Caenorhabditis elegans: one gene and its partner. The protein of the gene in region 1 interacts with the protein of each later gene in a pairwise test. Each region holds a gene or a part of one and is shown in the gene's direction. Other genes may lie near its edges.

Region 1 (6,507 bases):
GGCCGACGAGCGGAGCCAGCAAAATATGGATAAGATGATGGCACTTGTCCATTCTCTCGTGGAACGTGTCGATAGGAGCCACGCTTCGTCATATGATGTGGTTGGTCAAAAGAATCCATCGTCCAGCTCCCTCAAACCAGCGAAAAGAGTCAAGTCTGCCGTTGTTCGTCAATCCAATTTAGCCAAGCGGACCGGAGCACCTGTTGATGCTGCAAAGGAGTTGAAAAAGATTCGAGATGAGGAAAACAGAAACCATGGACGATCTGCTGAAAGGTAATTCTAGTTGTGTTTTTTTTTTCAATTTAAATGAGAGTTTCAGAGATAATGTGTTCATCGGTGCAGTGCTGGTGGGGAAAGGATCTCAGTACGATAAGGTAAGCCTGAAAATTATAAAAAATTAGTTGAAGTTGTTTTTCAGGATCTTGAAAAATTCAAGAGCTTCCGATGCAGGACCTGCAATGAAGTTTCCCAGACGAAGGAGCAGCTCGTGGATCACTTTTCAAACAACCACGCCGGCGAACTTGGGGCGAGAAGGTCACTGCGAATAAAGCAGACCTCGTGTTAAATTTCTTTTTTAATTTATATTCGTTTTTGTTTTAAAATTTAAGCTTTTTTGATACAAATAAATTTTATAGTAAATAAATCTTGTTTCTCCTACCAGCTATCTAACTATTCCCAACAGTGGGTGGCAATAAATACGAGACGCGGCTCTTCTCACGGCGGTATCATAGATGCACAAAGAGCAAAACGATTACGCAACAGACAGCCGGGTCATATTCAGGTCAAACTTGATAGTGCATGAAATCGAGTAGTAAGCGACTCTTTGATATTTTCAGATGCTCCATTTGTTGTTCTTCATGACAGCTGCAGAGTTCCCAGATCGTAAATGTTTAATGTTCTGAAAGAAGGTACATAATCAGTCAAAGGGCGGTCTCATTGTTGCCTTTTATATCAAATCTTTGGAGGACAAATTGTCGATTTCAGCAACATTTTTTGTTAAGAATCTCCAACTTTTAGAATAACTATTTAATAGATCACTCGTTTCTGATAAGAGAAATAATTCTCTGCTACCGTAATCTTTGCTCCACATGAACCTGTCAGTCATAAATGCTCATTCGTATCGTACTCAATTAAACTTTCATCGCTCATTTATTTCCTAATGAACATCGTAATGGAACCTCAATTCCAGATGGGCTCAATGGCCGGTAGACTTACTATTATTTGGGCGAGTAGATCAAATATGAGGTGAGTGATCTATTTTTCAAATTATTTTAAAGGCGGGATCTCATTGAAATTAAATTTAGTGGCTAAAATTCTTCTTTTCTTAATTTTTGGCTAGATGATTTTTTCTAATCTTTTTCAAAATTTTATAATTTTTAAAATATTTATTTAAATAAAAAGATATTTAACAGCAAGTTAACTATTGAACAATAAATTAAATAAAAATCTTCGTAAATCGACAAGTGGAAAGTGCGCTCTATTGAGCTGATCAGTCAGTAAAAATTTTTCAGTGTTAATTTTTTTCTGTTCTTCATTTCTGTTGAGTTTTAACGTTTCTTTTATATTTGTCTTGCTAATTTCAATGCTAAAAATCAATTCTAAAAACGCATATTTTATTAAAGTAAGAAAATCCATCTTCGAATACAGTCTCGGACAGTTTCCTGCACAGACCAATAATTTATTTCCCAACGAACTGGGCGTTTTTGTTTCCTTGCCGACCTGTCTCATTGTAAAAGTGATATGTTTGTCTGAAAATCGACGTGTGGCTATAAATCATTCACAATTCCCTCTCCCGTTCATATCTGATAAATCCCGCCTTCCCAAGTGCTCAATGAGCCGCAGGAGGCGGTGCCGGGTTGCCAGCTCGTTATTTTATTGCTATTCTCATCAAATCTCGAAAATCTTCCTTCAAATTTTGAATTTTTATTACTGTTCACTTTTCTCTATATAAACTGATAATTACTTCCTCGTTTTCAGAATGTCGGTCGATGTCAAGTCGGATTTTTCGGAAAACGAGTCCTCATCAACACCTTCACCAACAACAGTTCCAGCAGATGTCACGTGGCCTCACTATCCAATGATGCCATTCATGCAACCACATCCTCTGAGGCTAGATCTTCGAAATTTTTATTTGGAATCTCAAAATCAACGAAAAATTAAATATTTCCTGTTGGTGTTTCATTACGACCAAGTGAACAAAATTAAATACCATAAATATTTAATAATCCAGCACACACACATGGTTGTAAATCCATGCCCTTTCTCTTATTTATCTCCTTCAAAATATTTGCTAACCATGTATTTATTCTCAAATATTGTCGCCTTTTTGATGATAGAATTTGTTTGAAAGGTTATATGCAAATTTTCGATCTATCCGGAGGGTACGGTAACGCCCCGCCTCCACAGTGTATTGGAAGACATTGCTCCGCCCATTTCCACCGTTGGAATGAAGCGGGAGGGTGTCTAAGAGGTAATAGGCGTGTGTGTGTGTATCAATTGACAAGAACATTTGATTAAGGAGGTGCTATATTTTGAAGTTTTTCTTGTTTTTTTTTTTCATTTTATACTTAATTTTCTTTTTTCAGAGAAAAGATGCTGCAACCAACATTTGATCCACAAATCTATGGAAGGTGGTCACAAATGGGTGATACTGGTTTTTACGTACGTTTTGAATGAATTTCCTTAAGGTTTTTTATTTAAAAATTGAATTTCCAGGGACATCCGGATCTCTATCCATTCGGCCTTCCACAACTCGCTGCCAACGGACAAATTCCAGCAGTAGAAGCCGTTGATGTGAAGCCACCGCTTTCGAATGGAAGTAGCAGTAGTGATAGTGGAATGTATCCATCACCGAGTGATATGATGACACCGTTCCCATCAACATCATCTGGAGCTGCATCTTCTTCAGAGCTTTCAGCAGCTGCTGCTGCTGCAGCCAACTACCAGATGAGAGCTGCCACGTGTTATCAGCAATCTGTTTGGCCGTTTATGGATTATCAACAGGTAATCATATAAAATTGTATTTTAATACCTTTGTTGGCTTTTATAACACCAAAAAACATAATTTCCTAGCGAGACTTTTCAAAAACTGTTCACATTTTTTATGACTCTAAATTGTTGGTACAGTTTTTATTGAATTTTATTTTTTATTGCATATTTTAGGTACGGCTACTCGCGTTTATTCATTGATTTAAGCAGTCTACTTCCAAAAATTACAAAAATTCAGTGCCTATCGGCTTAGAACGCGCCTAAATCAACGAATTAACACGAGATAAATTACCAAAATATGCAATGAAAAATGAAAACTTACTAAAAACTGTATTTCAGCTACTAGACAAGGATAAGTTGATAAAATTTTAGATTTCAGCATTTTTGGCTCTTTTCGATATTTTAAGCTGCCATAAAATTAGGAAATTCTGTCGTTTGTGGTAACTTGTCTAATAAATATCTCTAATAATGTCTAATAAGTCTAATAAAGCAGCCAATTTTTGATCTGTTAGTTCTCCTCCAAGTGAGCTTGTTTTAAAGATAATTTAAGTTTCAGGGATTCTCGTGGAAAATGCCTCTTGGAAACAATCATGGAAAGGATCGAAGATCAAGCAGTGATGGGAAAACATTACCAACGGGACCTGGAACGAATAGTAAGTTTTCAAAAGAGTCTCCCCGTGTGCAAACAATCTCTCTTCAAGTGAAAAAGAAGCCGCTATCAGTCATATTTATCAGTAACTAGGACAAATGAATTGAGTATTTATGATTCCTTTCCCATCAATTTCCCATTTTATTACGAGGGAGTTTGTAATTAAACTTATTTTCAGATGTCCGTGTACGAACAGCTGACAAATACCGTATGGTTTACTCGGATTATCAACGCCTTGAACTGGAAAAAGAATTCCATACATCGCCATTCATAACATCAGATCGCAAGTCCCAATTGTCGACGATGTTAAGCTTGACAGAACGACAAATCAAGATTTGGTTTCAAAATAGGTAGATTCTTTTTTAAACTCACTGCCTAAAATGGGATGATTGATTACTACAAATTTGAAGACACCAAAATAATATCAAGTTTTCTTGATTTGGCACAGAGATGAAAGGCGGTAAAGGTGATGCGGTGTATGAGTTACGGTGCTTACGCAATTCGACCCGTGTGGCAGGTAGCAGGAGAGTCTTTAGCCGTGAAAGAGTGTTAGAGTGACCTCAATTTATATGATGAGAGGTGGCAAATTGGGATTGTTATGGTGTGAGATGTCATATTAATAGATCTGAAAGTTTAATTTGGTTTATTGGAATCATGAGATTAGACTTCAAATATTGACACATATTTCACAACGTCATTTAATTAACAGATGATGTTGCCCTCTGCAAATCTCATTTGAATTCATTCATTCCGCGCCCTTTCGAGCCAAATACGTTGTTTGCTGTTTGCTGTTTGCTTACTCTTTCTCAGGCTTTTCCAGGGGACTCATCACAATGACTGTCACCTCCTACTGTAACCATAGGAAAAAGTACCACCACACTTTCGTTCTTTAAGATTCAGTTCAGTCCACGCGCGCAGTAGAGATAGTTCCAAGGAATTAAAGAGTCGTAAAGTTGTGTAATTGGAGGCCACAGTGTTTGAGACGTGCTGGTGGAGGTGAGGAAGAGATGAAGTTTGTTAATTGGTCCGTTTACGACTTTCTAATTGGTATTACTGTAGAAGAGAGGTGGTCACTGCTTGCATGTGTGGCTATCTACGCGTTCGGGGATTTGGAAATTAACAAGGGAATAGGATATCTAGTGCGAATTTCCAAGTTATTGGGATAAAACACTTCCCGTAAAGTGCTACTGTTAATCTCCTTCACTCGCATGTTAAAGGGAGAGTATCGTTTGTAGGTTTGCAAAAAAATATACTCAAAATGCCCCAAATTTCAAGTTTTTGCCTTTATTTAATTAGGTGAGGTTCTAGCTCAATGAAAGAGTCTACAGAAATGATAAAGCAAGGGTTTCTGACCAGCTCGCAGAGATATACCAATTATCTGCTCAACAGTCGTTTTTTTTGTTGTCTGTTGCCTTGTTTGACAATATTAGTGCGCATCGAAAGATTTACGAGGGGAATAGAAACGTCGTCGGCAGAGATTCCCAGAGTGCTGTAAAATGGAAATCAATGTGTGTGTCCCTTTCCTGTAGCGTCCCAATCCAAACAGACATACATACTGTGTTGGACAGACGTGACCGCCGTTTTCCTGGGAAGAGGTAACATACGGACGAACCATACCGGTCATTGTATTCATTAAAAGAAAGGGAATATAAACCAAAAGATTGATGTTCCCTATCCCTTTTCTTTGAAAAGCGTATTTTTTTTGAATTCACCACTGGGACGGCATCTTTTTGATCTCAATATATTCTGATAAATTGTTAATTTCCGTAATAATACTGTAATATTTTTAATTGCAGGCGTGCAAAGGATCGTCGTGACAAACAGAAGATTCGGCTATAAGTACTCATCTACTTACAAAGAAAATGTACAAAAATTCTGGGAATTTTCATATTTTTCTAGAATATTGTACACATTTATTATATTTTTACATTTCTCTCGCTTGAATACGGTTAAATTCACACTTTTATATAATTTCTTCCTGTCCCATCTCCCATTCTCTCACATCAGAATATTCTAATCATCACTGCCCTTAACATATATATATATATATTTATAACTTTCCGATCATTCCTTCTGCTTTGTAAACTAATCCAATCATTCTCTAATGAATTATTCCCTAATATAGAGCTTCTTTATTTATTGTGATTTCTTGTTTCTTACCCTTCTCAAGGTTTAGGAAAAAGTTTAGGTCCCCATTTGTTATGTATTTACTTCCCACTCTGAACGGATCCATTTTGAACATGTTTTCTATTTTTTGGAAAAGTTTAGAGAATTCTTTGCTTTTCTCACATATCTTGATTGCATATTTTTTATAACAAAACAATGAAACAATTTTGAAGAATTTACAGCAGAAATTGATGAGATTAACTATCCAGTTTTTTGAAATGTATTAAATCGACGGCAATATCCACGGCCTTTTGTTTATGGAATTTGTAAGTCGCTGGTAGTTGCCACCGCATTTCTGCACAACATTCTGCCTGAAACTCAATATTTTTTTTTCTAATTTTAGAATAATTTAAAAACAAACCCCAACTCCGTCCCATTTCTTTGCATTTTTTAGAATATAATCTCTAGTTGATGATTTATGAAGTGAAAATACACTTCCACCAGGCCGAACCATTTGAAGACCGATTTGGACAAATTGCATATCGATTCCTGAGAAATTTAAGATATTGTAACGTTTTAGGAGATCGTTGGATATTTACCTGCATTATTTTTTGTTCCAAATGGAGGATTAATGACAGCCACGTCGAATGTGCCACGTGGAAGATCGGATTCCGGGTCGAGAATGTCGGCTTGTAGAAGCTCGCATCTGGAAGAATTGAAAGTTTTTAATTTTTTATTATTACCCAAATACGATTTTTAGCCGA
Region 2 (5,309 bases), 1.6 Mb from region 1:
ACCCAATCCCTGAGAGCAGTTTCTTCGTGTTTCACTTGAAGATCAGTCGTTTTGTGATAATGATGATGATGATAAAACATAGAGGACGGGAGCTCTTTTGAATAAGAAGAAGAAGCCAACTGTCTCGTTGATAATCTGTCGTCTCTTCATTCACCATTATCATCTTCTCAGACGGACTAAGACGCGCGGGATTCGGACTACGAGAGTGAGAGAGAAAGAGTCTTTGTATCCTCATTGATTATCAATTATTATCTCACACGTTTCATCCTCGATTTCTTTCTTTTTCCTACATCAACTATTACTCATATTTTTCTTGATCTTTCTTCTGTCATATGATTTTTCGGGTACTATAGGATTTTAGTTTTCAAGTTTTCACACTCAGACATTTAAATATATTTCTAGATTCTCATAAATGGGTCTTGCCACGACTGTTCCGTATACCTATTCATGAAATACCGTATTCGGTTTATGCTTTTTTTCAATTAAGCATTTTTTAACATGTTTTCATTTTTCTAACAGTAAGACAATATAAATTTACTTCATTCCAGTATTCCAAAAAAACACTTATTTTTTTCCAAACTTACTTTTGTCAAACTAATCATCTACTTTTCACATATCCATCTCCACATACGTGAAAATGTGAATAATTCTTAACTTACCATGGAATTCGTAATTTCATGTTTGCTATAAATTTGAACCATATTATTATGTGTTATTTCTGCTCATTTTTTATCGAACGTCATTCTTAGTTCCTCAGAATAGTATCGCTTTCTACTATTTTTCCAAATGCATCATACTTTATTAGCTCAAATTTCATTCATTTTCGGAAGAGTATTGTTTGCGGGGGATGTTTTTTATTTACAAATATGACACTATTCTGGGAATCTCTACAAATTGGCATTTTTCCAAAATGGTATTTTTCTGTTATAGCCTAGAGATCCTACACATTTTGATGCTCTTTTCATTTATTTTGATCTATTTTTCCTCCTTTTTTGAAGTTTTTTTTTGTGTTTTTATTTTGAACAAATGTTATGAACAACTGTGTAAATATGATCTCAAAACTTTGTCGTCACTTGTGAAAATTTGTGATGATTCAATCGGTTCAAATCACTTTGCCAAAACTACATATGTTTTCTCGGAAAAAAAAACCGTTGTTGAAATTTTCCACAGATACACAAAAACTCCTAAATGCAGAGCCTACACCTGCCTCTTACCTACTCTAAAATCTGTTGAGTGAACCATAAGACATTTAAAGTTGAGCAACAACTTTTTTGGGAAAAATAAACATTTTGGAAATTTGCAAGCAAAATATGTGGCTTTTCACAAAAACTAGATTACAAAAAATACTTTCATATTTCTCAAAATTCTTAATCACTTTCTTATAAAAAATTTGTAATGTTATAAATTTTTGAACTTGTTGTATGATTATCGGATTTTAAATTAGTAGTATACTACTTTTTTCCAAATATAAAGATAGAATATTAATAATCTTCTTTCTTTTTAAAGTTTTTATTCAAAGATACTTCTAATGCCCCCGAACAAACTCTAAACTCTATTTTGCATCTTATTGAACTTGGTCATTGTGATCTGTTTCTATTTATCTGTTTTCTCAATAGACTCTCTTTCATTGTTGCATTCCTTCATTCCAATCTTACCGTTCTATTTGTTTTTTTTTCATCACAATTTTCCATTTTGCAAGAAAGCCTGAGCCTTCTCCCAACTGAGCCTGAGTGCAAACTCGTGCCAGAAAAGGAGTGGAGGCGGAGGTGAAGATTGTTTGCTCCCGAATCTCTGTACTTGCCCTTTTTCTCATTTATTGACTCTTACTTCCTCGTTCTTCAATATTTCCAAATCATTACAATTTCTTCAAATGTTCAGATGAATATATGGCCGTTCCTGCCGCCTCATCGATAGTTTCATACGGAGGAGCAGCCACTTCTAACTTTTTGACAACACCAGTTACACCTTTTCTTGCGGTAAGTTTACTTCTTTTAACCATAAATGTTTAATTTTTTAATTTTTTTTTGAATTAAGAACGTTTGGAAGTTCAAGCTATATGTACTCAAAATGTGAAAAAACCAAAAATTGAAATATTCATACAGTAACTTAAGAATCTGACACCTCTATGTTTTTTGGAAAAAATTATAGCACACTAGAAAATCTAGGATAATGTTTTTTTCTCCCACAAATTGATTACTTTTTCAAAGTTAAGATATGAACTGAAACTTAGAAATAAATTTTCAGGGATTCTATAATTCAAATTTTGTAACCGATCGTATAAATTCATGTGCTCCGTATCGAGTGGACCGGATCAGAGTGAGTTTGAAATTAGAGATACAGTTGTAAACTTGAAAATGGTTTCCAGAAACAACTACAAGATGAAGAAGAAAATGGGTATCCACCTGCTGATGAGTGAGTTTTTAAGCTTTTCAAACTTTTTGTAACAAGGGATCTCGGATTTTTTACTCAATTCTTGAAATTTGTTTTCTTTCACAGGGCAACGACAATTTATCAAAAACAACAAAAAACATTTTTTTAATCGAAGTGATCATGATCAAAAATTAAAACTTGCCAATGATTTCAAAGGCATTGCGTTTTTGACTAATTTCTACTTCCAGCCGTCGCCGCGGAGCCCTGTTTTGTCGTTCGGGAACCTGGTTGGAGATGCTTCCTATCGAAAATCCTGACGATGGATCGACACGTGTCAAAGTTCATGGAACAAAAGAGGAGAGTTCCAAATTCAGTATAGTGGAGTTTGTGTCAGTGGCAATGAGTCTTGTATCGATTCGAGGAGTTGAAACAAAGAATTTCATTTGTATGGATCCATCGGGGAAATTATATGCAACACCATCATCTAATTATTCAACAGAATGCGTTTTTCTCGAAGAAATGATGGAAAATTATTACAATTTATATGCGTCTTGTGCTTATGGTGACAGGTTTAATCCCTGGTATATTGAATTACGACGGAGTGGAAAACCAAGGAGAGGTCCTAATTCAAAAAAACGTCGGAAAGTAAGTGAAATATATACTCATTCTGCTTTGACAGCTCGTATCGGAGATATTATTACATTTTAGAAAAATAATTTTTAAAACCCGATTAAAGTATATTTTCGAGCATATGTTCGCAAGAAAATGTGGTTTTTACCAAAAATTAGAAGCTCGAGGTCTGGAACGAGCGAATATTTCCTGATATGTACATTAACTTTTCTCTCGTTTCAATAAGTTCCTACCGTACTCGCGGCTACTGTAGCTAGATACATAAAGAAATCCGTGTGCACTTTTTTTTGATTGAAATACATTATCCGTATATTTCAGGCGAGCCATTTTCTAGTTGTTCATCACGATCTTGACCGGTTACGAAGTCCCGTTCCAAATGGAAATGTGAGTTTTTTCGAGACATACAGTTTCAACTTTTTGATTTTCAGGACGTAACCGATCTGGTAGTTGCTTCACTCTTTCACCAACCTCCCAGTCATCCATTATTCCGACAGCAGACCGTTACAAAACCACCAAATCCACATCGTATTTCAAAGTAAGCATTTATATCAAAAGTATCAGATTAGAGCTAATGAAATTTTTGTAGTTTACGAGCAAAAGTGGAAATGACGAACCAAGCTGAGAAGCAAAGATTATTAGAAGAAAAGAAAAGACGAAGAGAAAAGAAGAAACGAAGGAGAGAAGATCGATTAAGAAAAGAGGAACAAATTAGAGAGTTAGTTATTATTCTGAGAAAAAGAAAGCGCAGAGAACTGAGAATTATTATGAAAGTATTGAAAAATAGCAGAACATTTTTTTGGTTTTTAAGATTTGAAGCCAGACTGAAATGGCTTTTTTTGGGTATCGTTCCGTTTCAGTTTTTGAGCGGCAAAAATAAATTCAATGCCAGGTAGCACAAAACTATTTGAAACATTTATGATGATTCCACGTGTGACTTTCCTAGATCTATACCAATTATCAAACGTATTTCAGAGCCCGTCGCCAAGAGCTCAAAAGTCTTCGTGAAGAAGAACTCCGACGTCGTTATCAACAACAACAGCAGCAACAAGCATCTACTCAAACTCGGTACAATCGTCCTCAAAATCCAGCGAATCCTTATCCAACGTATCGACCTCTTCCAACAAGATCAACAGTACAATCTCCACGACCTGCATACAATCCATATTGGCAGTCTCCAGTGACACAGGCTCCTCATCACAATTCCCATCACCATCATCATCACCATCCACGTGTCAGCTCTTCATCAGACCCTCAACAACGTCATCAATCACAACAACACTATCTAGCTCAGACAGTGTCAAATCCAAACCGTCAGAATGTTAACTATCAACGATACCCGTGAACGATCTCTCTTCTTATGATACCCCGCACAGCATCTATCATCATGATCTTCTCATTTTCTTTCCATTTCTTCCTGCCTTCTTTTGCTTAATTAATTTTTTATCAGGGCTGATTTTGAGAAGAAGCGCAGTACATTGTCGTGAAGTTCGTAAGGCACGGTGCTTTAGAAATGAAACCCTTTCTTGTGAATATTGAAACACACAACGAATTTTCTAATTTTCTATTTCTACCTTCATAATATTTCTGTATTAGACTCTTAAAATCACACCATGCTCTAAATACGACAATTTGCGTACACTACTGTTTTTCTTCCCAAGCTCGCCCCTTTTAAGTATGTTTTCCAAGTCTCTCTAAAACACCCCCAACTCGCCACGTGTCTCATTCCATACTCACGGGTTTTGTATTTTGAACATACTGTAACTTACTATTATGAATAATATATATTTGAAAAATATGTATTGTTATTTTAAAAAAATTATCAATGGAGCGAATTTACAAAGACAGGTAATTCAAAAACTTAGAGACATGTTCTCAATCCAATTGAATGAAGGCTTTGCATCCAAATATTCAGCACCAATAACCCATGATGGATTGATCGAACGGATTTCATCGAAAATAAAATGATAATCGATTTCTCCGCGTGTATCACATGCACCTCTATTTGGAACTTGAGCCACTTGAATATAGCCTGAAAAACTCGAAAAAAATCGACGAATGAAAAAGTAATTTCAGAAAAATAGGGCGTAAGCTTATTTTCATCATCATCCTTTTCAACTAACCAATATAATCTTTGAGCTTTCTCATAATTGCTCCAATTTGTCCGTTGATTTGTTGAGCGTGGAATGTGTCCTGAAAAATTACAGTTACTTTTCGAATTCTTATTTTCAAAAAAAATTGTGCATAAAATTCGATGTTTTATGTTCTATTGACTTACATATTGAATTTTCAAATTATTCGATTGATCCATT

Evidence for each region.
Region 2: the proteins of pal-1 (region 1) and let-756 interact in a two-hybrid assay, tested with the Caenorhabditis elegans proteins (one study listed by BioGRID).

What each region holds. Positions count from the first base shown.
Region 1 is NC_003281.10:4,804,180-4,810,686, reverse strand, and holds pal-1 (Homeobox protein pal-1), read left to right. Parts: upstream 1-1,977; 5' UTR 1,978-1,978; coding exon 1,979-2,109; intron 2,110-2,585; coding exon 2,586-2,661; intron 2,662-2,715; coding exon 2,716-3,003; intron 3,004-3,327; exon of another isoform or gene 3,328-3,476; intron 3,477-3,538; coding exon 3,539-3,641; intron 3,642-3,815; coding exon 3,816-3,987; intron 3,988-5,433; coding exon 5,434-5,476; 3' UTR 5,477-5,978; downstream 5,979-6,507. Other genes in the region: C38D4.7 (C2H2-type domain-containing protein), read left to right, coding at 1-273, 320-374, 419-565; rRNA N(6)-adenosine-methyltransferase metl-5, read right to left, coding at 6,001-6,114, 6,165-6,292, 6,343-6,449. UniProt on the Caenorhabditis elegans protein: Transcriptional activator. Interacts with promoter regions for tbx-8.9, tbx-9, elt-1, hnd-1, scrt-1, and vab-7 genes. Binds the sequence ATTTATGAC. Binds to the enhancer region of the hlh-1 gene promoter during embryonic body wall muscle development.
Region 2 is NC_003281.10:6,405,251-6,410,559, forward strand, and holds let-756 (Protein let-756), read left to right. Parts: upstream 1-1,878; 5' UTR 1,879-1,886; coding exon 1,887-1,976; intron 1,977-2,244; coding exon 2,245-2,316; intron 2,317-2,365; coding exon 2,366-2,412; intron 2,413-2,618; coding exon 2,619-3,015; intron 3,016-3,318; coding exon 3,319-3,384; intron 3,385-3,428; coding exon 3,429-3,535; intron 3,536-3,586; coding exon 3,587-3,715; intron 3,716-3,972; coding exon 3,973-4,342; 3' UTR 4,343-4,783; downstream 4,784-5,309. Other genes in the region: C05D11.5 (Putative hydroxypyruvate isomerase), read right to left, coding at 4,851-5,029, 5,121-5,190, 5,276-5,309. UniProt on the Caenorhabditis elegans protein: Required for larval development. Probably by binding receptor egl-15, negatively regulates membrane protrusion from body wall muscles during larval development.